Alligator mississippiensis: one gene and its partner. The protein of the gene in region 1 binds, or shares a complex with, the protein of each later gene. Links are inferred from orthologs where the notes say so. Each region holds a gene or a part of one and is shown in the gene's direction. Other genes may lie near its edges.

What was found.
Region 2: the proteins of FGF23 (region 1) and FGFR4 are in contact, whole or in part, in a cryo-EM structure (PDB 7YSW), measured with the Homo sapiens proteins. The link is inferred for Alligator mississippiensis from reciprocal best matches to the Homo sapiens genes FGF23 and FGFR4. Residues at the interface, in NP_065689.1 of Homo sapiens: Leu32, Gly33, Ser35, Trp36, Gly37, Tyr43, Ala45, Thr46, Ala47, Arg48, Asn49, Ser50, Ile75, Arg76, Ser77, Glu78, Asp79, Ala80, Gly81, Val83, Val84, Tyr93, His117, Gln118, Thr119, Asn122, Gly123, Tyr124, Asp125, Leu158; in NP_001341913.1 of Homo sapiens: Glu156, Lys157, Lys158, Leu159, His160, Ala161, Val162, Pro163, Asn166, Asp240, Leu242, Glu243, Arg244, Ser245, Pro246, Lys272, Val273, Tyr274, Ser275, Asp276, Ala277, Gln278, Pro279, His280, Ala308, Asp309, Ile310, Ser312, Gly336, Asn337.

What each region holds. Positions count from the first base shown.
Region 1 is NC_081827.1:142,543,145-142,558,089, reverse strand, and holds the start of FGF23 (fibroblast growth factor 23), read left to right. Parts: upstream 1-8,786; 5' UTR 8,787-8,994; coding exon 8,995-9,217; intron 9,218-11,359; coding exon 11,360-11,463; intron 11,464-12,211; coding exon 12,212-12,652; 3' UTR 12,653-14,945. UniProt on the Homo sapiens protein: Regulator of phosphate homeostasis. Inhibits renal tubular phosphate transport by reducing SLC34A1 levels. Up-regulates EGR1 expression in the presence of KL. Acts directly on the parathyroid to decrease PTH secretion. Regulator of vitamin-D metabolism.
Region 2 is NC_081832.1:79,310,949-79,325,723, forward strand, and holds FGFR4 (fibroblast growth factor receptor 4), read left to right. Parts: upstream 1-7,240; 5' UTR 7,241-7,282; coding exon 7,283-7,382; intron 7,383-8,036; coding exon 8,037-8,126; intron 8,127-8,468; coding exon 8,469-8,635; intron 8,636-8,804; coding exon 8,805-8,928; intron 8,929-9,467; coding exon 9,468-9,658; intron 9,659-9,948; coding exon 9,949-10,087; intron 10,088-10,169; coding exon 10,170-10,363; intron 10,364-10,504; coding exon 10,505-10,650; intron 10,651-10,732; coding exon 10,733-10,854; intron 10,855-10,988; coding exon 10,989-11,099; intron 11,100-11,273; coding exon 11,274-11,464; intron 11,465-11,732; coding exon 11,733-11,855; intron 11,856-11,932; coding exon 11,933-12,003; intron 12,004-12,239; coding exon 12,240-12,377; intron 12,378-12,459; coding exon 12,460-12,565; intron 12,566-12,715; coding exon 12,716-12,862; 3' UTR 12,863-13,237; downstream 13,238-14,775. Other genes in the region: ZNF346 (zinc finger protein 346), read left to right, coding at 1-15, 2,342-2,435, 3,858-3,963. UniProt on the Homo sapiens protein: Tyrosine-protein kinase that acts as a cell-surface receptor for fibroblast growth factors and plays a role in the regulation of cell proliferation, differentiation and migration, and in regulation of lipid metabolism, bile acid biosynthesis, glucose uptake, vitamin D metabolism and phosphate homeostasis.

The sequences.
Region 1 (14,945 bases):
TTCAGGAACATCAAGGGTTGAGATTGCCTGTGTGGCCTTAATACATATACACATTTTTAATGCACACATGCTCCATTGCACATGTATATTATAGTCTGTTAATGACATGATCACAGCTTATTTTTTCCTCACAGGAGTCCTGCCTCATTCAGTGCAGAAATCTGATTGTGCTCACTTAACAAGCATCTACTCCATATTTTGTTTTATCTTCATGGTCCAGCCTGTGATCCAGCACCTTATTTTACTACATGCTGTTCAAATTCAGCACTGAATACAAATGATCCATTTCCTCATGGGCTTTTCTATGGCACTCATCATTGTGGCATTAATTTACAGAAATGAATGAATTTATGTTCACAACATCCCAGTTAGCTAATGGGATATCACAGTCCTATTTTAATGAGGAATAACTAAAGAAGAGAGAAACAAAGGTGAAATGTTCACCAGTTACAAATGCCCAGTTGAAGATGCCCAGGGGCTTATCTGACCTGTAAGGAGCCCGGTAGTCCAGACTTGGCTCATGGACAACATAAGCTTGTTGACACCTCTGCTCTATATGTTCAAAGTAGTGTTTATAGGGACTTCAGGTGCAGCTGTGAGAGCTCAGAACATCTGCAAGTCGGATTCCTGCATTACAAGTCAGGAACCCAAAAAATAAAAACACAAATTAGCAGCCAATTATGAAAAACACTGGCTTGAATGACTTTCCCAGCCTCACACACAGGAACTCTGTAGCAGAAGGGGGCATGAAATCCAGTTCTCCAGGAAAGCATTCAGTTGCCTTACCCAGGAGCCCATCCTTTCATCTCTTAAAATACCGTGATACATTTCATAGATTTCATAGATATTAGGGCTGGAAGGGACCTCGGAAGATCATCGAGTCCAGCTCCCTGCCCCAGGGGCAGGAAGTCCGCAGGGATCACAGGGTCCCAGCAAGATAAACATCCAGATGACTCTTGAAGGCGTTCAGGGTAGGTGCTTGAACCGCTTTCGGCAGCAGTCTATTCCAAATCTTGGGGGCTCGGATAGTAAAGAAGTTCTTCCTTATGTCCAGCCTGAAAAGATCATGGAGGAGTTTGTGACCTTTTGACCTTGTCATCCCTTGGGGTTCTCTGGTGAACAGATGTTCCCCCAGATCCTGATGAGCACCCCTGATAAACTTATAGGTGGCCACCAGATCACCCCTGAGCCTGCGCTTTTCCAGGCTGAAGAGTCCCATGGCTCTCAGCCTCTCTTCATAAGGTTTGACCTCTGATCATGCGTGTGGCTCTCCTCTGAACTCTCTCAAGCTTCCCCACATCCTTTTTGAATTGTGGAGCCCAAAACTGGATGCAGTACTCCAGCTGTGGCCTCACCAAGGCCGAATACAATGTGAGAATGACCTTATTGCACCCTTTTCAACTTCTGCAGCAAATGAGGCTTGGGTCTTACACATTCAACACCATTGTTACTACATAATCCTGGTCCAGTGTGTTGACATGTTTCATAACCATTTCGACACCTGGTAGGGAAGAGCTCACCTAGCAATTAAGATGTAAGTGGGGGTGGAAATATCCAACAGTAAATCTGATCAGGGTCTTATAACGGGAAGCATCAGATAGCCTTAAATATAGTTGGATCTACCCAACTTGCCAGTACATCTTCACCTAATTTTTGACACTTAACAGGAATTGAATTATACACCACAAAAATAGTTTAAAGCCTGGACATCACCTAGCACAATGTGTTGGCGACCTGACTAGCATCCAAATGTTGCCACAAGCTGAGTATTAATAAAAAACTGTCATGTGTAGTATAGTATATTAAGCTTCCCTGAATACCCCAGCAGCAAAGGCAGCCTGTCAGAAGAGCAGTAATAATCTCATCACTAACCATACTTCCTCCCTCAGGGCCTAAGAAATTACACTGTTGCTGACAAATTGTGACTTGGAAAACATGAATTTAAAGTAATTTAGACAAACCCTGTGGCAAGTGGTGAGAGAAGGAGAACAAGTAATGAGTGACAGGAGTTATAAAATATTGGCCTTGCATCCAATCTTAGTTAATGTCTTCATTAAAGGCCAGCAAGAGGAAATAAATGTCACAGCGTGACATGCCCAAATTATGGTTACTAAAAGGTTTGCAAGTGCCAGCCAAAGCAGAGCGACTCACACCCGGATGGGAAACAACAGAATAGGAGAGAGGGCAATCTGATTACAGAAACCAAAATGACTCCATGGGCTCAGAAAATATGTCCTCACTCTGTGCGGAAGAAGGGTGCCATTACATGTGGGCAGTAAGGGAACAAGCACAAGACAGACTTTGAGAGTATGGGTCAAGAAGGGATTCTGAGAGACACTGAGAGAGAGAGAGACAGAGAGACAGAGAGAGAGAGAATGAGCGTACACACATTGGATATGTAAATTATTGTGAGTAGGTAACATAACAGTATTTTGGATAGGGAAACATGCACCTGCTAATAACAGGGTGCATTTACATGTGCAATTAATGTGAAGCAATAAACTCCAGACTTTATTGCTCTGGTGTTTATTGCTGTTTGAATGTGTGCCGGGGAGCACAGCAGTTTGAGCTGGGTTGGAGCAGCTCTGGCTGGCAGGCAGCCCCCACACTGAAGCACCCTTGTGCTCCAGCCAGCTAGGGAGGCATCTACACGTCCAGTGCTATGGAGTAAAAAACTCTGCAGCAGAATGGTACTTGTATTTACTTGTGTGGATCCACCCACAGTGAAATAGAGCTTATGGGCCTCTTCATCCAACAAACCTAGACTTGAAGAAGAACACTTGATGCCCCAAAGCTTGTCCAGCAGCTGTCTCAACTATAGAGTTGGTCCAAAGATAACACAACAAATTCTTGACTCTCATACATTACCTGGACCATCACAACTACAATAACACTCTAACCCTACTAATCCTATATAATGCATTTTCATAACAAAACACCAAATATTAGTTCATATTTAATGAAAATAAAGGTTGTGCTCCCTACTGCTTATACCTTCTTAGTTCCTACATTACTTAATTGTATCTCCAGTACTGCAATATAAACCACAGACCCTCACAGATTCTGATGTTCCTGCCTCTAGGTCTGTAAACACCACTCAAGCAATATTTCTCATGACACTATGGTAATTAGGCCTCTGGGCCAGACAATCAAGTGGACAATCAGACAAAGAATGTTTTTCATTATTAAGTCATCAAACCCCTAAACAGCTGTTGGTCAAGCTCTTGGCCAAAAGTCTGAGTCAGTTCTTATTTTATCTGATCCTGATTTGCTGACCCTAAGAGCAAGTGTGTTTACTCTTAGGTTATAACAGACGGATGCAGACAAAATGACTTGATCTCATCTGATTCAGAGCTAGTTGGCCAATTTCAACCCCGATGTATCTCATTTTCATTTCAGTGGGAGGACTGTCTTTTTACTCAAGGACTGAATCGGGTCTATTTTAAATAGGTGGTGAAAGATTCATACATTTAAAGCACGCTATTCTTCTCTTTCTTCCAGAGCTGTTACATCCTGGTTTCCTTTTGGACACCCATACTTGCTATTACTGGAATCATAAAGTACCTTTGACTAGATAACATAAATTCCAACAGAACCTATTCTACTCACTTTACTGATCCAAAAAAAAATCAACTCACAGAATTAATGGCCCTTGAACCTAAGTATGAGAAAGAGAATTGACCTAACAGGGAGATTAAGAGTTATTTTGTGCTTTAAGGCTTCCAGGAGAGGAGGCAAACATTGGCATCTGAGTCATTCTAAAAGTGATAGGAGTCTTCAGGGAGGTCCCACCTTCCACAAACCATTGATGGGGATCCTGGAGAAAAGCCTTATAGGAAGCCACAAATTCCAGTGTCCCTCATTGTCATAACTTTAAAGCTAGCAGCCCTTTTCCTCTTCCTACTACTTGAGATATCTGAAGGGAAAAAGGAATTGTCATTTGAGTCCAGTCCTCAGTTCCTGCCTGTCTTTTGGTCTACCAGTTTTCTAGCTCAGCAGTTGGCAAGTAGAAAGAGAGGTGAAAGTCGGACAACGCTACAGGAAGATTCTGAAAACCATAAGATTCTTTCTACATGGGCAAAAGGAAAACCACAAACTCAAACACCACAAACTCAAACACCCTTCTTCTTACAAAAAGCTACCAGAGCCTTTTGGGTAATTACATGGCACGATCAGGAAGAGAAAAACAAAATGAAATGAAATATATACAACATTAAAGTAGCAATGTTGCCGTTTCAGTAAATATTTACATTCATAAGAGATATATTCTACACAAGACCTCTAAAGGTGTATTTAGACTGTGGTCCATGCCAAGTATGATGTAGGCATACCCTAGCTAGCTTTAAAACTAGCTAGCTCATGTACTGATAGCAGCATATCTGCAGCAGCATGGGGCCCAGTAAGGGCTGCAGCACCTGCCTCCAAGAAGCAAAGTACTTGGGCAGATAACCCACAGAGAGCTCTCGGCTGCTGCAGCTACATTGTCCATACTCAAGCTGATGACTTTACAGCTGGCTTGGGTGTGTTTACCCTGAGCTGCAGCCACTGCTGTGGCCGCGGTCTAGACATACCCTGATTTGACTAACCACAGGACAATCAGAGAGGCCAGAAATGGTCTTCTGGTTAGAGATTCTGGCCTCAGACTTGGAAGTTCTTGGTTCAGTCTCTGTCTGTCACAGAGCTCTCAGTCCACCCTGGCCAAGTTACTTAATCCCTCTGTGCTTCTCTCTTCCCGCCTGCCACGTGGAGGGAAAGAAAATCAATGACCCCTTTTTTTGTCCATGTAGAGTGTAAGCCTCTCAGGACAGGGATGACCCATTACAATGAGTTAGCACGGTGGGGCCATAATCTTTGTTGAGGCTGTTCCATGCTACGATAATGCAAATAAAAGTCACAGTAATGATACTGGCATTATGAAGCTGCCACGATTTTTTGAAGTCTTTGAAACAGAGCCAATTTTTTTGAACACTGTACAGGGAGGAAAATCTCTCTCTTGGTCTTTCCCCAGACTATGGCTTGGTCTTCAAGGCACCATGGAGAATGCACCCCATTCCTCTGTCAAACACACATAAAGGACTAGAAAATATAAATTCATATACCAAAATGAAATGTCACACAAACTAATCATATATCAACATTCAATGGAGCATGTGGTTCAACTGGAAAGAAAAAAGAGGAGACAAACAAATATATAAATTACAAACATGCACCTACCTCAAATTCAAACTCAAAGAAAGAAGAAGTGTTTTAAAAAGCAAAAACCTTAAAAAGCAACTCCCCTCTAGGAGTTTGACAAGCTGAGATTTTAAGCAAATTTGCTTTAGCCTGAAGACTTAAACAAACACAGTTCAGCAAAATCAGGGGCAGCAATGACCCTATTGGAACCTCTGCAAAACGTTGAGCACTGAAATACCCAGCAGTGGCTTTTGCTCCTATGCCACATAGGGAAAGGGACATCTGCCATCCACCAAGATGGAGCTTGAACAAATTCTCCTCAGTGATTTAGCTCTATTTCAAAGAAGGTGAACCTATAAGGTGTGACTGGATGCTTATTAGGCCTGTGTGAAGCAGTTGGCATTCACTTCGGATTTGGCCGATTCGGGGGGAAATGATTCGACTCGGTGATTTGAATCACTGTCCTGATTTGGTTCGGCCGAATCTGATTCAGAGATTCGGCAGCAGCAGAATCTCCAAATCAGCCAGGCCAGGCCCACCCCCCACCCCTCTCCCAGCCCAGCAATGGCCACCTGTCTGCCCTAGCTCTCAGCACTCAGGGGGAAAAAAAGCCCCTGTTCAACAGGTGCTGCTGGGTGGGGGGGGGCAATCCCGGCTGCCCCCTGCTACCCCCCGCTGTGTGGGGTGCTCTGCATGAGCCCCCGAACCCCCAGCCCCCTCACAGATGCCCTGCATGGGCCAGCTCCGGCCCTTTAAGAAAAAAAAACCTGAAGAAACCCCAAGACTCACCGCTGCCGGCAGGGGGCGATCCCCACTGCCCCACCCACGTGGGGGCTCTGCAGGAGCCCCAGAAGCCCCCGGGCTGCATGAGGAGCGGTGAGTCCCAGGGCTTTTCTCAGCTTTTTTTTTTTTCTTAAAGGGCCAGAGCCCTGGCAGGTGGGGCAGCTGTGGGGGGGGGGGTGGAGGGGGCTCGTGCAGAGTCCCCCATGCAGTGTGGGCCAGTGGGAATTGTCCCCTGCCCGGCAGCATCTGGTGAGCACCAGGACTTTTTTTTTTAAGTATGAGCTTGGGGGGGGGGAACAGCAATGGGGGGGTGCTCTGGGAGTGGGCAGGGGCCGGGGGGGGGGGCTGGCAGGGGTCCCCCCCCATGGTCCTCTCCCACATCCCCCAGTCCCTCCTCCCCTGCCCCTAGTACTTACTAGATCCAAGCGGCTGCAGTTCCCTGTTGGAGCCACCAGGGACTGCCCAAATCATTAAACCTCTCCGAATCTTTGCCGAAGGTTTGGAGAGCTTTGAATTGATTCGGAACTTTAAATGAGTCCCCTGATTCAATTTGTATTCAGAGATTTGGCCACTGAATCGGGTCTAATCTCCTCCGAATCGAATCACCACCCAAAGCTTCGCACAGTCCTAATGCTTATGTGGATAAGCAGAGCATACCATAGAATAGGTGCTGAACAGTTTTATCCAGGATTTAAAATTTTACCCCACAGGTTGTAAATCAATCTCTAACTATCAGCAATTAGGAGACAGCCATGCCTACATAGGAAGTTCACTAAGCCAGGAAGCAGGCCCTTAAACCAAGTTGCACTGCTCCACATAGTGCATCCTCCAAAGACAGAAGGAGTGTAGCCACCTCTGCACATCACTTCAAGTGGACTAGTGAGCTTGAGAGTTGGACTGATGTGTCATGTCACATAGCAATGCAAAGCTGTCACAGGATGTGGCCACACTCTTTCTGATGGGTGAAACAGCACTGTGTATTTGTGGGCACAACTTCCTCACATGTGTTTTTCCATACAGATGTGCCCTCAGAGGGAAGACACATTCACCTACTCCAGGGTTGCTTGCACCTGTCTGAGAAGTGTCTGGAGCTAGATACCGTCTCTGACACTGGCTTGAACTACATGGGGCAGCAACTGGGTGGGGGGAGAGCAGGGAGTGGTTGAGCAGGGGGAAATACCTGTGCTCTAATAGCAACCTGAAGAGCTCCCCATCAAACAATCCTAACATAGATAAAAACACTGATCAGCCCATTCTCACACTACATGGAATTCCTGAATGAAAGGAAAGATTATCAATCCCTGCGGTCACTACACCCTAAAACCTCCTTGTATGAAACGTTAGGAAGCATTTCCACAGTGGGTATCGATCGATGGAGCTTCATCAATTTGCTCCACTGTGGGGCCCGACATTGCACATTTGGGGCCAGAATTTTGCTATCATTTACACAGGTGTGTACACAGATGTGGCATCAGTCAAGATTTACATAGGTGTGTCTGAGTAGGATTTGGCACTAAGATGCTTGTTTTAAATAGTTACTGAACAGCAAAACATACTGGGACAGATTCCATGATACTGGTATAAAGCTAAAATAATTTGACTGACTTTGATGGCATTGCTCCAGATTAATCAACTGAAACCAAGAATTTGGTGCATCAGATGGAAGGAGATTCTGGGAACCTTTCTCTGTGTCTGCTTGAAAACGTACATGTTACAAAGCGTAATTGGGTTTCTCTAAATGAGAAAGACAAATCTATTTTTTTCCACCAATTCTTGCATTTTATTCTGTGTCTTTGAAAGCAACTTTAGCATAACCTAGATTCACAGATTCTCTGTGCTATCAGTTTCCTTTCCTATTTGCATGATTTATTTTGATTGCAAGGTAGGAAAGAAAAGTTTGAAATAGGGGAAAAAAAACCCCCAAATGATCGCAACAGCATCAAAATCAGCAAGACAGCTTCACCACTGATCTCGTGTCCAAAATGACATTTTATTAAAGATTTTACTTCAATTTGGCAATGTCCCTTCTATGACTTTGAGAAGATACTTGCTGTATATACAGCCCTAAATGTGCTCATGGGTTAAATAGATCAGATTCAGCTCATATTCACCGGGCTAGTTTGTTTGGCAGGCCAAGAATCTGTAAAAGGAGTGCCATCTCGGTGCTCAAAGCAGGAACGGATAAACAAAATTCTCTTGCCAAGTGCTTTTAGACGCTTCCAGCTGCCTTGTCACTGTAAATCAGGCTATGGAGATGGCTCAAAATGAAGAACTTAAGAGGGAAGAAATAATAAGGAGAGTTTATGTTAAAAGGGCAGATTCTCCCCTCAGCTGCTAGATCAATGCCCAAAGATGGCTCCCCTGGGCCAGTAAACTGCTGATTTTCATCAACATGAGAGCAGAGCCAAGCCCATGCACTTGCACACTTGTCTCTTGAAACAAACTGTGGGCCTGATCCAGCAAAGTGCCTTGACTTTGACTTGAGAGGGAGTTGAGGACATCGGATGCATTTTAGGAAGTTCCCTGTAGTTTTGTCAGCTCAGACAAGAAAAATAGGGAAAAATACATCTGAACCCAGAGGCAAAAAGGGAAATGAACACTGTAGCATTTGAGTCATACAGTACAATAATGACTTCTCTTTCCTTATTTCTTGGGAAGAGCAGGGGGCAAGAAGCTTTCTGATGTCAGTGTTGCAGATAAGAGCTAATCATACATTTAACTGTTGAAGGCTGTCTTTAAAAACCATGTATTCCTTCCGGCCCCCACCCCCGCCACTGCACAGAGGACCTGCCTTTCCCTGGGTCTCAGGACTTGCCTAAAATGTTGCTCTGACAAAAATAAATAAATAAATTGAGGATGTGGACAACAAACTTTTCCTGTGTGATGTCACTTGGTTGCCCTTTATAAGTGGCTGCTAAAAAGCTGGGAACCCATCTGAGGACTCACACTCCAAATACACACAAAGAGGAGGCAGAAAAGAAGGAGTGCAAAGTATCGTGTTTCAGACACAGCACCAGCCACTAAGAAGAGAGCACCATGTTGCAGACCAGTCAGTACAGCCGCCTGGACTTCATGCTCTTTGTCCTGTGCAGCTTGAAGGCTATAGCTGCCTTTCCCAACTCCTCTCCACTGCTGAATCCCAGCTGGGGAAGCACAGATCGTCTGATGCACCTGTACACGTCTACGGAGAAGAACAGCTTTCATCTGCAAATCAACCCTGATGGTTATGTGGATGGGACCCCTCACCAAACCATTTACAGTAAGTAGCTTGTTACACACACAGACCTCCCCTGAACAGGACAGACTCTCTACTTTCAGGGTCTGGGGAAGCATCCTACCTCAGGTGAGACAAAGGAAAGAGAGCTAGAGCAAGGAGGCTGAATAATGCACTGAGATTATTTGGAGACCAGGTATGGGAGATGTACTCGCACGTGGAGAGCAATGGTTAATTAAACGTTTGCATTTTCCCTCCAGATAAAAGGAAAATAGAATTTAGTTAAAGACTATCCTTTTGTAGGGTTGCCAACCCTGTAGGATTTCCCTGGAGTCTCCAGGGATTAGATATAAATCTCCAGGAGACTGCTGAGAGTCACCCAGGAGATAAATGATAGGTCATTCATGAACATAAATATTAAATGCTGAATCTGATTTATACAGGGTTTTAAAAATGTAACAGTAATGTACATTTGCCTTCCTGATGTAAAGTCTATGCACCATAATCAAAAACTGATATACTTAAGCACACAGGCATGGTTACGTTGTGTGTCATGGGTATGTTGGCGTTCCACAAACCTCCTGGAATAGATTCAAACAACCCTGTCCTTTTGTTTAACAAATGAACAAAGCTGCTTAAAACAATTCAAATGACATGACCTTCAGTCTTCATTTTATAAGTAATAAATGCAGGATACCTGTCAAAAACTGCCAGACGCAACTTCTCTCTATAGGAATGTCCCCGGTTTCCTGTCACAACTCAAATTTGTGTTGGACAATGACACATCCAAAGCAGCTTATAAATCTAACCACTACATTTTCTGAGGAAAGTGCAAATAATAGAGGCAAGCAGATTGTGTCCACAAAGCCTGCTGTTGTGAATGGAAGATGGCTAATTTCATCCATGTGTTTGCATGCATAAATTTTCACTTGCAAGTGCATCAACTGTTCCCTTCTTTGAATATCTGCTTGAGAGAAAAGCTTGGGAACTATTCATTTGATCACTGTGTGAGAAATATCCCTGTGCATATGAAATGCATAATTGTATGTCCAACTGTAAATTAAATAATGGAATCTGCAAAAGCCAGGCTATGATGGGTAAACTTTTAACTCCCATTGACTTCTGTGGGACTTCTCATATGTGACTGATCTCCACTGGGACTAAAAGTTTCACAAATTGGCTCAAGGTAATTTATTGTTCTAGCATAATTAAGGGACTCCTCTTTTGCTGTTCAAAACTTACCCTAAGTGCGAAGCCATATATTCAGATGCATTTCGTGACACTTAAAAATCACCCTGGTCATTTCACAACTCAAACGTTAACCTACTAGGAATATTGAGGATTGTTTTCCAACTTATTAATGCAGCATACATCTCCTGATTGATAATGTGTAGATAATAGAGATAAAAGTTTATTTTCTTTTTGGATAAAAGATCTATTGCTTAATTTATGACTTTTTATCAGAAAATAAGCACTGGAACAACTGAACAATGCTACCTGTATTTACTCAAATATAAGACAACCCTGATTATAATATGACCCTCCAATAATTAGATCCTAATATGTAACATTTATAAATTTTATATAATTGTCCAGGTACAGAATATAATTATTGGAGGTTTGTCTTGAATTTGTCCCCTTCTCACAGCTACAGCACGGAAAATAAATTTGGGGGAATCAGCTAACCCCTTTGTCCTTGCCAGCTTCTACCCCCTACTGTCCCTTCCCCCACTCCTTATTGTCAGACCTGCTCTTCCTGAGCACATGAGAGCAAAAAAGTAAATTTGAAAAAATTGACCTTGAAATAAACATAGCTTTAGTGATTTGTATATAACTCCCATAGACTTAGCTCATCCATGTTTGATACATTTTACTTTTTTTTAAACTGTTGCAACTTTTAGCACAGGTACCCCATAAACATAGTTTTAAGTAGCACTTGGGCACCTTAGTTCAAAGCAAAGAGACTCATAATTTATCTATGCTTCATTGGACTGAAATAAAAATACAGGAAAAAAAGTATTTGCTGCACTGGCCTGAAATTAAAGAGAGAGGCCACTTTGGAAAACTGTGATTAACTAAACTTTAAAGTGCCAAGAAAACAGGTTGCAAAGAAAGTTTCAGCTAATTCTTTGTTGAAAGGCAAAACCCTTCCCTGATTTTGGACACTATACTTTTTTTTTTCTGCAGGTGCTCTCATGATCAAAGCTGAAAATGCAGGCTACGTGGTGATAACCGGTGTCAAGAGCGGGTGCTACCTCTGCATGGACATCCAAGGAAATATCTTTGGATCAGTGAGTATTTTTAACCTTCCTGAGACTCGAGTGAAATGCAGAGCAAGTCTTGCCAACTGCTATGGGGCTACCTCCTCTCTGGTGTAAATTTCCATTGTTCCAGTCACTAATCTGAAATATTTACACCAGCCAAGGACCTGGCCATTAGTCTAGAATAACTGTGTTGCTTTTAGTTAGTTATATTAACAGACTTAATTTTTGTGTCAGTTGTGCCAACGCAACTCTCTGCAAAAGCCAAGGGAGCTGCCATGGGATAAACCCAGGCAGGTCCAAATCCATGTCATCTGTGGGTATGTCTGGGAAGACATTGACACCTTCACAGAAGTTATTTTATATGAACAGAGATATAACCTCAAAGACTTGGAGGGACTATGAGTGCTTATCAGATTAACATTTTACTAAGACTTGCTTGCTACTACTTAAAGCCAGGGTCTGAGGAGAGAAATTAGAGTCCAATCCTACAATGCTCTGAGTACATCCTTGATGGTAGCAAGCCTCCTCAGCTCTGATGAGCATCAAGGATGGCTGATAGGCACTTTTACTTGCTGTACTGGCCCCTAGGACCTTTTTAAAAAAACCTGAAGGGCCTAATTCTGCACTTCTTTCTCATGTGAAAGGGCCTGTTGAAGCCAGTGGAGCTCTTCATAAGAGTGAGAACTGCCAGATGTAGCCACTGGTCCCCCTGTTGCCTACTGATACTTGTTAACCCACTGAACCATTAACACTTGCCCTATTTTTGTTTCTTAAGCATTACTTCAATCAAGAGGACTGTGTGTTTAAACAAAGGACACTGGAAAATGGATATGACGTGTACCAGTCTCCCAAGTACCACTTTTTGGTCAGCCTAGGCAGAGCTAAGCAAGTTTTTTTCCCTGGTATGAACCCACCACCTTATTCCCAGTTTTTGTCCAGGAGAAATGAGATCCCTCTAATCCGGTTCAACACGCCTGAACCCCACAGGCACACTAGAAATGCAGATATTGATCCTATGGACCCCCACCAGATGTTGATCCCCCAGAGAAAGATCTCTGCAGTGCAGGCCCTGCCACAACGGTTTCAAAGTAACTTCGCCCACCTGCCCAGAGAGCCCATGCGATTCAATCCAAATGATGTGGTCAACCCAGATGACCCTCATTCCATGATGGATGCAAGGAGGCACGCCAGCCCTCGTTTCTACATTACAAGATAGCGGGGTGTTGCTCCACCATAGACTAGAGACATGGGTGAATATATTAGACAGAAAGAACTGGCTCGTGCCCTAGAAGCTTTGATACCCAATCTCTAACCTTCTTTCACATGGCCTATTAGAAACCTGAAAGATGCTGAATTTGAGTTTTGTTCATGAGAATGACCTGTTACTGGAAAATTGAACAATGTATTTTTACAGATTGGGCTTTATGTTACTTGAAATAAGCTATATTTGCAAGGTAATAATACAAACCACACATTGGAGAGTCCAAATCTCCACTCACTTACCTCAGTGTAAATAAGAAGGAACTCTACCCAAGACTGAGGAATTAATTGTATACAATTCCTAACCAAGGAATTAATTATATACAATTCCTAATGAGGCCTGAGAGATTTGGGTCCTACAGTGTCTAAATTCTAGTGTAGGCAGGGAAATTCACTTCCAAACCACCCTGCAAACTCTAGGACAATGGGTACATAACTGATTGTATTTTATAGAAAACTTCCTTCAATGTATTTTGGTTTGTTAAGATCAGAGTCCAAGTCTCCTTTCACACCAGTGTAAAGCCAAAGTAATTCCACTGATGTTAAAGGAGAGTAAAACTGGAATAATTTTCAGGAGAATTTGGTCCTAAGGAGAAAGAGTTAGTTTGGATACAGTAAGAATTGACCATGCTGAACCCATACTGAAATTACTTTGGGGTCTGGAAACGCTCTGGCAGTCTTTTACTCTTTTTATTCATAGTTCCTTCTATATTGTGCTCCCTGCAGTCAGCCAAGGTCTAGGGCAGAAGTGTAGGGAAATAAAATGAAGAAAAGTTTTTTTGCAGTATTTCCAACCCAGAGAGCAAGAAGTTCCAAAAAATAACAGGTATGACACAACTGTATCCACCAGGTTAATGTTTTTGGTATGTATACTACTTAACTCTATTGGAGAAAATCATAGTTGCTCAGTTGCATGTCATAGGCCCTGCACAGCTCTAACTGGTAATAGAGATACTCCTCTAACTAGAGTCTGTCAGGATGAGTATTTCTGGAGTGGAAGACTTGAATTCTATCCCAGCTGTTTCCTTGAAGGTCCAAGAGGGCCATATCATGCTGCAGAGTTGTACAGGGAAGTCCCTACATGGTATTGTCCCTACACAGCATTGTTTCCTACAATAAGTTATACTTTTATCTTAAGATCTGCAAGTATTGGGAAAAAACACTCCTTCTGTGATTTCCAGCCTGGTTCAATCTAGATGGATTGGTAAACACTCTAGATAAGCTCACTTATCAGAACTGAGCCTCTCTCTTGAGGTCTGCCCAAAGTTAAAATGTAGTTTCACCAACAGATAAATGGAAAATTCTGGATGGACAAACCACAGAGGAGAGGTCTGATGGAGTTTTTATACTTTTCTAAATTTTTATTTGTTCCCATAGATCTGCAAGACAGGATTGGAAAAGATCCCAAATAAGGTTCTCTTGTGATGAGCTTCTCTGGTACTTCCTGCTTCTGATAAAGCTAGAAACACTCTTAAGATTAACTTGGTAATTTAGCAACTGGTCTCAAAATAATTAAGAGCAGGAGAGGGAACAGATATGAAAGACAATTTGAAACATGTATTCCAAACTCCAAAAAAAAGACTGGGTTTTAGGTCAAGATGCTGGTCAAAACAGTTCTTTTTGTATCCAAACTCCTTAAGACAGCGAAGCCTTACCTTCAGACTGGCTAGCTATCCTGAAGGGAAAGTACCTGGGATGCACCAGGTGCTGTACTCTTATGCAAAACAGTCTCTTCCTGGATCAAATGATTCAGTGCAGGAGTGGCAGCAAGTGGCTCCTACTCCCGTGTTCTTCAGTGTAGCGGAATTAGGTCCTTTGCACAGAACATGGAGACAGGTGTCAAACAAACTATGCTTTGCTTGCAGGAATATTTAAGTATGACTTACTTCAGTGGAGCTCTACCAGGGATTAATCTAACTCATTATCTTTAAACACAAAGAGGGAGATGATAGAAACATTAACTCTAAGCCTTGCCCTGCTTTCTTAATGCTTCTCCTGCTGTTACAATTGCTTAAGAAACTAGGTGTGAGGAGTACTGGTAACCACTTGCACTGAGTGGATTCTGACCAGCAACCTGGTTGGTGCTGTGCATCCTAAATAGGTTTTCTAGCTTTGGAAGAGTTTCTGCCCAAAGATAACTTTGGAGCAGAACTTCTCATTCTCTCTAAATCCGCAGCTGGAGGAAATCCACAGAGCTCCACTGACTTCAAAAGAGCTACACTGATTTGGACCAGCTAAGAGAACTGACC
Region 2 (14,775 bases), on another chromosome or scaffold:
CCGCCACCTCTGCTGGTGAGTCCTTGCCAGCCGCGCCTGTGCCAGGTGGGGGTGGGGACCTGTGGGCAGGCTGGGGACAGCAAGGCCTGGAGAAAGACCTGCCTTGCACAGGGAGTAGGATTGCCTGGTGGTTCCATTAAAACCCCTCTTGCTGCTGGGGTTTGTGCCTGACGTAAGCCTCAGTTGGAGGCTGTTTTTCAGGTTGTCCATTTCGATGCCTATTTCCCTTGCCTGCATGGGTAACCTGAGCCCCTCAGTGCACTGAGCTCCCAGTTGAGGGGACCGTTCCCAGTGCCAGCTGTGAAGATGGCACTTGCTGCTGGAAGGAGACCCCAGGGAGGTGACCTGTGAGAGGAGGGAAACCTAGGCTCGTGTACCCCTTGCCGCTCTGACCTGCATGGAGGGACGGGTTTACAGAGTGCTTTCTGCCCCGCTTTGCGCTGGCAGTTCCACCACCAGTGGCCCGCTCGTGCAGTCATGGCCCGCAGGTGACGCTCAGTTACAGTTGAGGCACTTTCCTCAGCCAGCTGACAATCCTCTGAGTGCTTCTTTCCCTTAAAGTGCCCAGCGTGAGGGAAGAAGGTTGTGAGGGACCAGTGGAGCTGGTAAAAGCTGGCAGTAAACTCTTGGGCCCCTGCTGCTCTGCCGTTCTGCCAGAGACATCACAGCTTGAGCTGCAAGGGAAAAGCAAGCAGGAAAGTCCATCGAGAGCAGGAGTTCCCAACGTTTGTGTGCTCAAGGGTACATTCAAATTTAAAAGCAAAAGCAGCGGGCGCCAATATGAATATTAAAGTTTAGAATTTAGATCAATCCGTTACTTAAAATTGCATCAGATCCTCAACTTCAAAATGCAGCTTCCCTTTACTTTGTATTCTTTTGAAGTTTTATCCATGGCGCCCACGGGCACCACGTTGGGAATCACTGATCTAGAGAAACCCCCTTGGGTCCCTTCTCCATCCTAAAGAGACACAAATGGTCCAAGCAGGGTGGCAAATAGTTTCCAGGGCACCTTTTGAGGCACTGACAGCACTAGCGAGTGATGGGTGTCTTTTACACAGGGCAGCATTCCCTCTCCCTCCTGTGTGCAATGTGGGAGGTGCTCTAGGGCTCTCGGGTGGGGAACAGCTGGGCAGTCAAGGGGTTTCCTGGGCTGACGCCTGCTTCTTTGCTTCTATTGAACCCTGGGTTAGTGTTGCAGTCTGTTACAGTTCAGGTGAAGATGGAGCTGGGTTCCTTGCCCTCTGTCCCTGCCAGGTGCTGGGGTATGGGGTATAGCTCTCTAGTGCAACAGCGATCTCCCACAGGGTGCCCCACGTATGCAGCTTGCATCATATCGAGCACTGCAGGCAGGATTTTGGAGACGGGGATATAGCTATCTAAAAGTGACCGTCCAACATGGGTCACAGAAGGCCAGGCTGGATCACCCTGGTGCCCCTCTGGCCTTTCAGATCAGATGCTGGACCACGGTTGTCAGGGTGAAATGGCCCGGAGGAGTCTGAGCCCTCTGAAGTGCAGCAGCCAGATGGGATCATCTGCTGCATCCCATGTGTCCCCCTACGTGCACACGGAAAGAACATGCATTCTGACTCCGAGAGCTGGGAATAGCTGGGGCCCGTCTTGCCTCTTGTTGACTGTCTGCAGCGGTCCCATGTGCCAGCTCTGCCAGTGAGCCCCACTGAGGTTCAGTGCATGCCCACCAGAGCTCTGTCCAGCTGGAGCTGCCATGTCACTCAGGGTGAGGATCTCTGGGGCAGTGGTGCTGGAGAAGCAGGGATGGTTGCAGAGAGCATGGACTGCTGTTGACATGCCAGAGGGCAGAGCTCATCGCTCCAGATGAGCACCGATGCAAGTGGGAGATGTGTCGCAGCCTGCTGTTACGTTTCCTCTTCAGCAGCTGCCTGCCCAGGCGCTTCGAGCGATACGTGTGTGACTTCCTCTGCTCTGGTAGGAAGGTGCACGAGTCAGGAGGGCAGATGGAGGATTTAGAGAGCAGGGACCTGTGGAGGCAGGGCACGATCAGGCTGGCTTGCGAGTGCTCGGAGCTCGCGGAAGGAGCCTGAGCTCAGCTGCGTTGCCATAATGGTGGCATCTCATAGCTGAGGTGCAGGCTGCTCAGCTGCCTTGGCTGACCTCCTGGCCCATATGGAGGCTCAGTGGGAGCAGGGGGCAGAGTACAGGCCTGTGAGGCCCTTGGCTGGGCAGAATGCCGGGCCTTTCCTTGGTGCTTCTTTTTGTTTAGCAGCTGTTTAATTAGCAAGTCAAGCGACTGCTTCTCTCACCTCTTTACCTGAGGCCCCACGCTGTCGGCTAGCACGTGCACTAACATTGCTGTCTGTTTCAGCTGGGAAGGGGTACCCCTGCAGCACCTGTAACATCGTGCTCAACTCTATAGAGCAGTACCAGGCTCACATCAGTGGCTTCAAACACAAGAACCAGTAAGTGACCTGTGGTGTCGGGGCCATTCCAGGGGCAGGAGTCACAGTGCTGTTTCATTCATGCCGTTGGCTTGTGGTACTGTTTCACTGGGATTGTGACCCATATGATCCTGTCCCTGCCAGTCAGCTCTGCTGTTCTCAAGCTGTGATCCCTGGCACTGCTCTGTGCTCAGTCCATGCAGTTCAAGCAGCCCGGGATGCCACATGAAAGCACTGTTTGCCAGCCCTGCCCTAAAACCACCAAGCAGCCAACTGGGAATGGGGACAGAGGCGATGTCAAAGCCAGACCGTGTTAGCAGAGCCTGCAGGGACCAGCGCAGCCTCACTGTCGTGGAGCTGCAGTTCTGCTGCAGCACAGATGCAAGCTGGGGCTGGGGCTGCAGCTCCAGCTCTTTGCACCACTTGTCCTGCTCCCCTCTCTGGTGTCAACATGCCCCACAGGCGCAGGCAGCAGGCCGAAGTCTAGTAGAGCCTAAGGCTGTGTCTCTCCAGGAGCCTGCCACTGGGTTGCTCTGTTGCTGACCTGTGAGGTGAAGGTGCACTTTTGGTGTTGCCCCAGAAACAGCTGGACTGGACCTGGCTGAGGTTGGGGCCTCATTCTCCAGAGCCTAGATCAGTTGGGTAAGAGTGTGTGCCCAGCCTGGTGACCCAGAGTAACCCAAGACAGGGAAACGATTGACCTTTTCTTTCCCTGGTCCCATGGTGGTTTTGCACGTGCAGCACCCTCCTGTCCCAGCAGGCTGGAAGGACGCCAGAACCTCCCAACATCTGTTCTGAGCTGTGGGCTGTGCAACCTCGATGGCGGAGGTCACTTGCTTTGCAGAGCCATGTGTGCGCCAAGAAAATGCCTGAGTCAGGACCCCCCCACCCCCAGTGCCTGACAACCTGCATCCCTACACACACAGACACTGTCTGCCTTGCTTGCTGCTTAACTAACAGTGCAATGCCTGGCCCCGCGATGGTGTCTGCCCACGCTGGAGCCTTGCTCTGGCCATGCCGAGCCATGCCAGCCCCTTCTAGAGCAATTCTGGGAGCAGGGAGCTGAGCTCTGAGCAGCCCGCAGTACCTGTGGGCACAAATGAAGCTTTCCACATCTTGCAGCCAAGCTTGTGCTTGCTGAAGCAGTTTTGGGGGCCTGGCCCTCGGTGCAGTATGCGCTGGACTCCAGCCTGACCCAGAAGAGAACCCCAACACGAGTCGTGCTTGACAGGCCTGCTTACTTACCGGGGGCCGGTGGCGCCACTCAGAGCTCAGGTGGATCTGCCATGGAGGTGGCAGCAGGTCACTGAAAGCTGTTGCAGTCCATGAGTTCCACACGCGTGCCCATGTGGCATGTTCTGTGACGACAGCGTGCACGCAGCGGTTAGCAATGGACTCCGGACAGTTCTGACATGCCGTTTTCTCCCTGCCTCCAACCTGCAGGATGCCAGGAGCGGTGCCAGTCGTGGGCCGGTTCCCGAGGCAGCAGTACGTCCGGGAAGAGTCGACCAGCCCGGGGGGCTACAGCTACTTCAGCCAAGACTTCTAGAGCCGGCTGCAGAGCTGCCCTGGGCCCAACTGGTGCTCCAAGAACAAACATCCTTTGCCAGCCCACAACGATTTCCTTGTCCCCAGGATGGGCAGGACCTGGCGAGCAGAACCTGCGCTGCCCATGGCTTGGGAGAGGGGCTTGCCGAAGCAGACTCCAGACAGCCTAACTCAGCCCTTAGTCTGTCTAGCCAGCGCTTGGCATTTCTTCTTGGGGAGGGGAAGGAGGCAAGGGGCTTTTGGGCCAGGAGGGTTTCAGCTGCGAACAGCCTGTCTCCGGTCCCCTCCCAACCCCTACAACGCCGCAGCAAGTTCCTGTGTCTGCCAAGCAGCCGCCTGGGCCAAGGCTCCGGGAGCTGTGCCCAGGGGCCACTGGATTGCACCCTTGGCAGCACATACGGACCCAGCCTTTCAGGGCTGCGCTTGTCCAGCCCTTCCCTGCTGCTGGGATGCTGTCGGCATCCTGGAGCCCTGACCCGTCACCCCCAGTTGCAGCACGTGCTGTGCAACCCCTGGGTGCAGCGATGGAGCTGCCTGGCTCTGGAGGTTGCTGCATACTTGCTGCCCTCCCAACTTGGAAGTTCGGGGGTGGCCCAGCCTTCTCCGCCAGTGCTCTCCGCGCTCTGTGCATGCCCCTCCAGCTGCTGGCAGGGCAGGGCTCTGCTGGAGGAGGCCCCTGCAGGAAGAGTGGGCAGCACAGCCCCCTCGTTGCATTTTGAATCCAGTTTGTATGCGCCTCGTCCTCTCCCTGTGGTATCCCCCTCCCTGCCAGGGCAGTGCCTGCGCCAGGCTGAGCTGAGCAGGCAGGTCATGAAGGGCCACGGCTCCTCCCTGCTGCTCCCTGTCTCATGAGGCCTGGACTGTGGGTCCTGGGGCAGCCTCAACCGTACAGGTGCGTGATGCTGCTTCCCCTGCTTGGCAGGAAGCCCCCTGCTAAGGAGGAAGACATGCCTCTGGGCTCCGGCTTACCCAGCACAGGCGAGGGGTGTGACAGCTGAGCGGGCAAAGCAAGCGGCAGTCCAGACACACCTGCATGCTGCTGTGCCTGGCCTGGATGGGGCCTGATCATGACATTGGCACTGGCTGTGCCCTTGCAGTGAAGGCCCCAGGCAGGGGCTGGAGCTGGATGCTGCCTCTGGCTGCGCTGGTGCCCTCCACCATCACAGAGCAGGTATCCACCCTCTCCCTTGGCACCTGCTTCCCTCCCCTGTGCAGGCGCCTGCTGCTCTGAGCCTTGCCATGTGTCTGGTGTCTGGGCTTGGCACCTTCCCCAGGAGCCCTTGAGCCCTCACAACCCAATGCATTAGGTGCTGCTGACCCAGAGAGAGCACTGATGTGTGGCAGGCTATGCCCTAGCCCATAGCTCCCATCTCAGCTGTGCTCCTGGCACCCTGCAAGGGCCTAGGCTCTGCCACAGGCTGTGCACCTCACTCCACGTGTCCCCACTGCTCTGTTCCACCTCCTTGGAGGCCACCCGCCGTGTCCACGTCCCCAGGCATCAGTTCTCAGAATAGAGCCTGTTTGTTACAAGCTGCGTGTGTGTGTTTGCGGCACTGGGCACAGCCAGGGCGTGTTGATTGCCCTGTATGGCCTTGCCTGAGGGACAGCCAGGGACTACTGCTATGCTGGGTGGAAAACCAGCTGCCTGCATTTTTGGGGTGACTCCCACAGCCAAGCCTTGGAAGAGCAGGGGCAGACACAGCTGGCAGGCCAAAGCTGGGTCCTGCTGTCAGCCCCACCAAGGTGAAGACATTTCCACAGCCCTGAGATGCTGCAGGCCAGGACTCGGAGCCTGCTCATGCTCACTACAAGGTGCCAGCCTGAGCATGAGGCCACCCGGCCCCCTCTCCCCTGCGTGGGGCTGCAGGTGCAGTAGGGGGTAGGTCAGCACTGGGCTCTGCCTGCTGCACCTAGCCCGCACATGGGCACAGACAAACCTGGGCATCCCCTGAAGCAGGCTGACCCCTGGGGCCTTGCGGCCCAGGCCTAGCAGGGGCATCCCCAGGGGAAAGCAGCCTTGCCTGCAGCACCCGGCCTCTCACCCACAATATGGGCTGCTGGCCCGGGAAGGAGGCAGGGACTGTGCCACCCGGGGCCTGGCAGAGGGCTGTAGGCTGGTCCCTAGGAGCGGGGGCAGCGGCTGCCGCCAGGTGGCAGCCCCGGGGCAGCAGCAGGGCCAGGCCGTTGCCTGGGGGAGGAAGGAAGGGCAGGGCAGGCTGCCGGCCCTGCTAGGGAGCGGTGCCAGCCGAGCCCGCTGCCGGGGCCAGCACCGCTGCATGAGGCTGCCACTCGGAGCCTGCAGCTGGCCTAGGCAGCGGCAATGCAGCCCCTGGCCCGGGCAGCTGCCCTCCCGGCCTACGGGCACCCGCAGTGAAGGGGTCTCCTCCTGCCTGGGCAGGAGGGGGCTTCATGGCCCCGGCTGCCCCTCTGCAGACAGCAAGCGGCTGTGGGTCGGGGCGGAGGGCCTGCAGAGCCCCCAGGTCGGGGCCGTGGGGCACTGGGGTCTGGCCCGCCCGAGCCGAGCCGAGTCGTGCCAGCCCCTGCGGCATTGCAGTCTGCAGTGAGCCGCCGGGCCCCGCCAGCCCTCCACAGCCAGGATGGGGCCGTGCCCGCTGCCCCAGACCTGCCCGGGCTGTGCCCGTGGACTCTGGCTGCTCCGCGGGGAGGGTCCCCCGGCCGCAGCCCGGGGCCCGCTGTCTACCGGGGGCAGAGGCAGGGCCAGGCCCGGGTGCCCCCACGGCAGCGGCCGCCCGCGCCCCCAGCCCCGGCTGCGGGGTCAAAGCTTAACTGGCCCCGCCGCCCGCTCCCCTCTGCCGGCCGGGGCGGGGGCAGGGTGACCTGCCCGGGCCCTGCGGGGGAAGCGGGCTCGGGTCGGGCTGGCCCGGAGCAGCGAGAGCCCGGCCGGGGAGGGACGAGTGAAGTTGGTTGCCTAGTCCCCGCTCCTTATTCCCGGCTGCTTTGGCAGCGCTAATCTAGACCCGATAAAAGCCTGGTGTTAATGAATTACAGCGAGAGCGCGCGTCGCTCGCCGTGCAGACGCACTACTTCGTATGTAAAGTAATAGCCCGCGGGAATGAGCGTCCGACTTCAGCCTCGCGGGGGGAGGGAGGCGCGGGCCGGACTTTGCCCGGGCTCGGGGCGGCCCCGCAGCCCTTCGTCACCCGGTTAAACATTAACCCTTCCCTGCCGGCAGCTGCCCGCCGGAGCCCCCGCGGGGCGGGACGGGGCGGGCCGTGCGGCCGGGGCGGGCCGGGGCGGGGACCGGCTGCCTCTGGCCGCGCGGTGCGGGGCGGTGCGGTGCGGGGCGCGGGCGCGGGACGATGCAGCCCGGCGTGTGCGCCCTGCTGGGGCTCCTGGCCGCGCTGGCAGCCGGGGCTCGGGCGGCCGGGGCCGGGCCCGAGGACCCGCCCGCGGAGCCAGGTGGGCGCGGGGCGCGTGTGCGGGGCGCGGACGGGCGCCTGGGCTCCGCGCTCCCTCCGAGCGCGGCAGCCCGCGGGGCGCACGGGCGGCGGGTGGCGCGGTCCGCGCGGCCGGTGCCTGGGAGACCTGGCTGCTGCCAGGGCGGCCCCGCGAAGACAGCCTGGGTCGGGGGGCACCGGAGGAGCCCTCTCTGCCCTGCCCTGCCCTGCCCTGCCCGGGGAGGCTGCGGGCTGCCGGTGCCCCCGCCACTCCCCCGGCCGGACCGAGGGGCTCGAGGGGGCGGGAAGGTGGCGGGATCGGGCCGGGCGGGAGGGGCCGCTGGCGGAGCCACGGGCACAGGCTCCGGGCACGGGCCCAGCCGCGCCGGGGCGCGAGGCAGAGCGCAGGGGAGAGGCTCTGGGGCAGGCGAAGCTGCTGCGGGCACCGGGCTGGCTGCCCCGCGCTGGGCAGCGTGGCCCGGGCCCCGGGGCGTCCGGCTCCGGCTCCGGCTGGAGGCCGGCGGCGAGGACCAGGGGGCTGCGTGGGCCGGGCGCCGGGCAGGGGGTCCGCAGCGCCATCCCTCCTGCCCCTGCTCCACGGTGCCCACTGCTGGCAAGGGCTGGGAAACTGCCCGTGCCGGGCGGCAGCATGACACCCTGCGGCACTTCGTTCCAGACTCCCTGGCGTCAGGCGATGACGATGAGGATGGGGACGGGGATATCTCCCAGGGGGATTCGCGCGAGGAGCTCCTGCACTTCCGCAGAGGTCAGTGCTGTGGCCAGGCTGCCCCAGGCCCTGTGGAGCAGGGAGTCCCCATTGCCTGCAGCCTGGCAGCACCACACGGTCCCCCAGGCCCTTTGCACTCCACTGTGGCTGCCCTGAGCCGGCCGGCTGGATCAGGCCCTGGCCTGGGAGAGCTGAGCATGCACTGTGCCCCTCCCTGCAAGCTGTGCCTGCACCTGCCCTGCGTTGCAGCCCCAAGCACCCGTGTGCCTTGGCAGAGCCCACTGCGAGCTGGCCGCCCCCGCCCACACACACCCTGTTCCCGTGCTCCATAGCTGTCCCGGCCCCATGGCTAATGGGCACGGCCACCCATGTCATCCTCAGCGCCCTACTGGACGCACCCCCACCGCATGGACAAGAAGCTGTACGCGGTGCCCGCGGGCAACACCGTCAAGTTTCGCTGCCCGGCATCAGGGAGCCCCAGCCCCAGCATCCACTGGCTGAAGAATGGGCATGAGTTTCGGGGAGAGCATCGCATCGGCGGCATCCGGGTGAGGGAGCGGGGCTGCCCCCTGCCTTCTCCAGGGGCCTGTGGCAGAGGTCCTCTGGTAGCGACCCCCCTGCCGGGCCAGGCACCAGCCAGGAGCTGGGTGCCCTGCAGAGAGCTCTGCCCAGGTGCCAGCTGCCCCTCACCGTGCTCTGTCCCGTCCTCTCCCCCAGCTGCGGCACCAGCACTGGAGCCTGGTCATGGAGAGCGTGGTGCCCTCCGACCGCGGCAACTACACCTGCCTGGTGGAGAACAAGTTTGGCAGGATCCGCTACAGCTACCTGCTGGACGTGCTGGGTGAGCCCGCTGGCCGGCAGCACGGGGGGCTGATCCTGGGGTCCTCCCCCAGCAGGAAGCCTGCAAGGAAGGGGCCTCTCAGCTGGCGCAGACCCCCAGGGAAGGCTCTGCTCCTACGTGGGCTGCCTGAGTTGGGCCCCTCCCGTGCAGCTCCTGGCGCTGCATCAGGGCCTTGCTGTTGCCCTTGGGAGCTGGGAGATAAGAGGTCATTGATCCCTCTGCAAACTTCAAAGGGCCTCTGGGAGCGTCGGGGTTGTAAAGTCCAAAGCAAGGAGCCAGCATACCAGCACCCCCCCCCCCCCCACTGCTCCTTATCAGGGCCGGGCCGGCGGGCGGGGATGGACCGGGCAGGCAGGGGGGGCCCGAGGATCCACAGCCCCGTGGGGAGGGACAGATGGGTGGGCTGACTGGGGGCCTCTGGTTCTGTGGGGCAGAGGTTTCCCAGGCCATGGTGCCCCCGGTCCATGGGCGAGGTGCCAGAGGAGGGCAGGGCCCAGCCGGGTGCAGCCCCGTTGGCTGACGCACCCCACTTCCGGCAGAGCGGTCCCCGCACAGGCCCATCCTGCAGGCCGGGCTGCCGGCCAACACCACGGCCCAGGCAGGCAGCGACGTGGAGTTCTTCTGCAAGGTGTACAGCGACGCCCAGCCCCACATCCAGTGGCTCAAGCACATCAAGCTGAACGGCAGCAGCTACGGCCCCGACGGCATCCCCTACGTCCAAGTGCTCAAGGTACCAGAGGAGAGGGCGCGGGGGCATCATGTGGACCCGGCCAGGCCTGATTGCTGCTGGGCAGACCCCGTGGTGCCCTGAGGAGCTGAGCCCACATGACGCAGGGCTCTGGGGAGCAGTGGGAGGCAGCCGGGCACCAGGGAACAGGTGGAGCTGGGGGTCCTGGGAGAATCAGGGCTGCGTCCTGCCTCTGAGCAAGGCGAGAGGGGTGGGGGCTGGGGGCCGGGGAGACTTCCCTGGACCCGGGGCCTGTTCTGGAGGGGGATGACCCTGGCGCTGCTGCCCCCCAGACTGCCGACATCAACAGCTCGGGGATTGAGGTGCTGTATCTGCGCAACGTCTCCATGGAGGACGCTGGCGAGTACACCTGCCTGGCTGGGAACTCCATCGGCCTGTCCCACCAGTCGGCCTGGCTCACCGTGCTCCCAGGTACGGGCCGGCCTGGGCTGGGGGAGGGAGGCCGCGGCCATGGCCCAGGAGCCCAGGCTGACGGCAGGCTTGCTGTGCCCAGACGAGGAGTGGGCCTGGGAGGTGGAGGCCCCGGAGGTCAAGTACACCGACATCATCATCTACACGTCGGGCTCCCTGGCCGTCGTCATGGCGGCCGTCATCATGGTCCTGTGCCGGATGCAGACGCGGCCGAGCAAGCAGCCCCTGGAGCCCGTGCCCGTCCACAAGCTCTCCAAGTTCCCGCTCATGAGGCAGGTGCGTGCAGGCACCCTGTGGGCATGGGGAGGGCTGGACCTGGTGGGCGTGAGTGCCCGGCTGCAGGGCAGGGCCCTGCCGGCTCCCCGGCCTGCACCCGCCCCAGGCCCGGCAGTAATGGGCTCCACGGTTGCCCCGCAGTTCTCGCTGGACTCGAGCTCCTCGGGGAAGTCCAGCACGTCCTTGATGCGCGTCACCCGCCTGTCGTCCAGCTGCACCCCGATGCTGGCCGGCGTCCTGGAGCTCGAGCTGCCCCTGGACTCCATGTGGGAGTTCCCCCGTGACAAGTATGGGGGGCCGCGGGGTGGGGGAAAGGGGTGCCCTGTCTGGGGCTGTGTCCAGGGCTCAGTCCCATGCTCTGTCCCACAGGCTGGCACTCAGCAAGCCCCTGGGGGAAGGCTGCTTCGGGCAGGTGGTGCGGGCAGAGGCCTATGGCATCGACCGTGACCAGCCCGAGAGAGCAGTCACAGTGGCCGTCAAGATGCTCAAAGGTACTGGTGCCCTGTGGGGTGCGTGCCTGTGTGTGCACATGCGTGTGCATGTGTGTATGTGTGTGCATGCACATGGGGAGCTCAGGCTGTGCCCAGGCCCCCAGCCCAGGGACCCTCTTCTCACACCTCCCCAGACAGCGCCACGGACAAGGACTTGGCCGACCTGATCTCAGAGATGGAGATGATGAAGCTGATGGACAAGCACAAGAACATCATCAACCTGCTGGGGGTCTGCACGCAGGACGGTGAGGGGCTTGGGGGCACGGCCATGCTGGGGGGCCGCACCCCTGGTGTGGGCACTGCTGTGCAGGGGCTGGAGAGCACTACAGGCAACTGCTCTCAGCGCTATGGGGTGGGGAGGGGCAGGGCTGTGCAGTCAGTCTGGCCACGGCACTGACGGGTGCCCCCGCACCGCACAGGGCCACTGTATGTCATCGTGGAGTTCGCCGCCAAGGGGAACCTGCGGGAGTTCCTGCGCGCCCGGCGCCCACCCACACCCGACTACGCCTTCAATGCCGCCCGCCTCCCCGACGAGCAGCTCTCCTTCAAGGACCTCGTGTCCTGCGTCTACCAGGTGGCCCGCGGCATGGAGTACCTGGAGTCCAAGCGGGTGAGGCCCGGTCTGGCTCGGGGGTGGCAGTGGGTCTGTGGGGTGGGGCCCGGCGCCATGCTCATGCTGCCCAACGAGGCAGGGAACAGCACCTGGGTGCTCCCCACTGCACCAGGGGGCTGCCAGGCCTGGCTCCAGGCCCCTCGTGATGCCAGGGCTATGGCCTGTCCCTTTGCGGGAGGCTTTTGGTCCCGTGCAGGGGTAGGGGTAGGGGTAGGGAGAGGTGCTGCTCTGGTGCCCCCCGCTCTGAGGACCCATCTCACTGCAGTGCATCCACCGAGACCTGGCCGCCCGCAACGTGCTGGTGACAGAGGAGAACGTGATGAAGATCGCTGACTTTGGACTGGCCCGCGACGTCCACGACATCGACTACTACAAGAAGACGAGCAACGTGAGCGTGGGGGCCAGGGAGGGGTCTGGGAGCAGGCAGCGCTGGCACACGGGGCTGAGGTCTGCCTGTCCCTGTAGGGCCGCCTGCCAGTGAAGTGGATGGCGCCAGAGGCCCTGTTTGACCGCGTGTATACGCACCAGAGCGACGTGTGAGTGCTGTGGTGCGGGCAGCAATGGGGCCGGGCGAGGCCTGGCAGCGTGCTCAGGACTGCCCTGGCCGTAGGGGCCAAAGGCGGTGGGTGCCTGTCCAGGCGGGTGGGTTCGGAGGCTGCGGGATGGACAGTCAGGCATGGCCCTCAGAGACAGAGTCCCTGCAAGCACCCGGGGGGTGCACCTGGGCCACGGCCATGGCCTCCCCCAGCCCTGACGTCGGGTGGCATTGCAGGTGGTCATTTGGCATCCTGATGTGGGAGATCTTCACGCTGGGCGGGTCACCCTACCCCGGCATCCCCGTGGAGGAGCTCTTCAAGCTCCTGCGCGAAGGGCACCGCATGGACAAGCCGGCCAACTGCACCCACGAGCTGTGAGTACCTCCGGGGCTGGGGGTGCCCCTGCAGCCGGGAGCGGGGGTGTGGGACCCGCAGGCTGATGGCTCCCCCCTGCAGGTACATGCTGATGCGGGAGTGCTGGCATGCCGCGCCCTCGCAGCGCCCCACCTTCAAGCAGCTGGTGGAGGCGCTGGACAAGATCTTGGCCGCTGTCTCCGAGGAGGTAGGGCCGGGAGGTGCAGGCGGCTTCCCGGGGGCACAGGCTGGACCCTGCTTGGCCACGGGCGAGTGCACATGGTCCCAGCTCGGCCCCTGGGATGGGGGCAATGGGGCTGCAGCTCTACCCGGGCATTTATGCCCGTCTCTCCCGCAGTACCTGGACCTGTCCATGCCCTTCGAGCAGTACTCGCCCTCCTGTGAGGACACCACCAGCACCTGCTCCTCTGACGACTCTGTCTTCACCCACGATCCCCTGCCCCTGGCGCCCTGCCTCTTCACCTACCCCGGTGCCCGGACATGAGGCCCTGCAGGCACCTGGCAGAGCTGCTGATAGCACCAGGGCCCAGTGGTTGGTGCCACCCAGCGCTGGGGCCCGGTGCGCTCCCAGGAGGACTGCAAGCAGCTGCCCCAGGGACAGGACTTCTCCGTGGCTGCCCCGTGATGCCCCTGCTTCCTGCCTGGGCTGTCCCCATGGGCACAGCAGAGGGAGCGGGTCCATGTGGGGCAGTGCCAGGCACCGGGGAGCTGCATGCGGGCCCTGCGGGCTGCCTGCCCGCTCCACGGACTCTACAGTGCCTCTCCTCTCACTGGTGGGCCCAGGCCCCCTCTTTGTGTCCCAGAGGATATTTATATCTGTGCGCGTCCGGCAGCCTCGATAAATTATTTTTTGGAGTAAGACCCTCGTGCTGGCGGTTTTGGGGCCACAGCCACCGGACGGCCTGACCCCAAGGCCCCTCTCAAAGGGGCAGCATGAAGGTTTCTCCTCAAGGGCCTTGTAGCCTGGTTTCCCCCCTCCCCATGTGCTGCCCCTTCCTGCTGTGGGGCTGCCCCCGCTCCCCCACTGCCCCTGCAAGGGCTGGGCTCCAGGGCTGCTGCATGCGTGTAGTGCTGCCCAGTCCTGGCACTCGCTCCCTGCTCGGGACAGGGGCTGCACCCAGGCATGTGCATGTGGTGCCCAGGCGTGTCGGCTGCGTGTGCACCTGTGCCCCCTCCTTGGCGCGGGGGCAGGGCTGGCCCATGCACAAAGAGCTATGCAGCTGTTGTGCATTAGCCGCTGCCCCGCTAAGCCACCGTGAACGCCGCTGCCCGCGTCGCCCTGAAACCGATCTGGCAACTGCCATGGCCAGGGCTGGGAACGAGCCTCTGCTCCCCTCCCCCTGCTCTCCCTGCCCACCTGCCGGGCGCAGCCCCCAGCCCAGGGGCCTGGGGCTGCTTCTCCACTGCCAGGGCCAGGCCGGGCCGGGGGGAGGGGAAGGGGCCCGTGCCTGCCCGGACCCTTGCTCTCACTCCTGGAGCCGGGCAGGCTCAGCCCCCGCTCCCGCCAGCCATGAAGGGAGTGTGGGCACGGCGGGGGGGTTGCAGCTGTCCCTCGCCCCCGCGCACAGGGCTCAGCAGGGTTTAGGGTTTCTCCGCAGCGAGCGGAGCTCAGCTCTGGACCAGGCAGGGGTTGGGTTTCGCGGGGGCCTTAGCCCCAGGATCCGGTTTCCTCCTCGTGCCCCAGCTGCAGCTGAGGGAGGGAAGGTAGGGGGGTGGGCAACCCCCTTGCCTGCTGCCCGGGCCCCTGGCAGGAGCAGGCAGGTCAGGGAGCTCCAGCATGCTCCCGGCTGTCTCCTATCCCAGCCCTGGGGAAGACCTGCCACGCAGGCAGCTGCAGCTGGTCCCCCCACCCCAGACGACCTGCACGGGGCTCCAGTGGCCCACAGCAGCCTGAGGGCTCGTGCCTGAACCAGCCTGGCACAGCCCCCAGCCCTGGCTCCAGCAGCCGCTGCTGCAAGTGGCACAGCGCTTGGTGGGGCACGAGCCCTGCATAGTGATGGAGCTGGAGCAGACGGCACCAGGTCAGCCCCAGCCTTTGCCCTGAGACGACACAAAGCGCTTCCACCACAGCCTCCGCCAGTGACAGGGGCCTGCCAAAGCGCAACAGGCCCACACAGGGCTCCCAGCTCGGAGTCTGGTGCAGCTCAGGGCCTGGGTGTCTCCTGGCCCCACTGGCTGCAGGGTCCTACCCAGCTCCGCCACCTGCCTGGCATGTCCCGCGGGGGCTCACGCGCCTGCATTCGGGGCGCCTGCCTCGTGCAGCTGCTTGCAAGCACCCCCGTGCTCCAGGCGCACGGGGCCAGGCCGAGCAGAGCTGAGCTGCCCTTTCGCATGGCCTGGCTGGGTGGGGTGCTGCAGAGGCAGGGCAGCTCCCTGCAGGCAGAGCCCGGGCCGGCT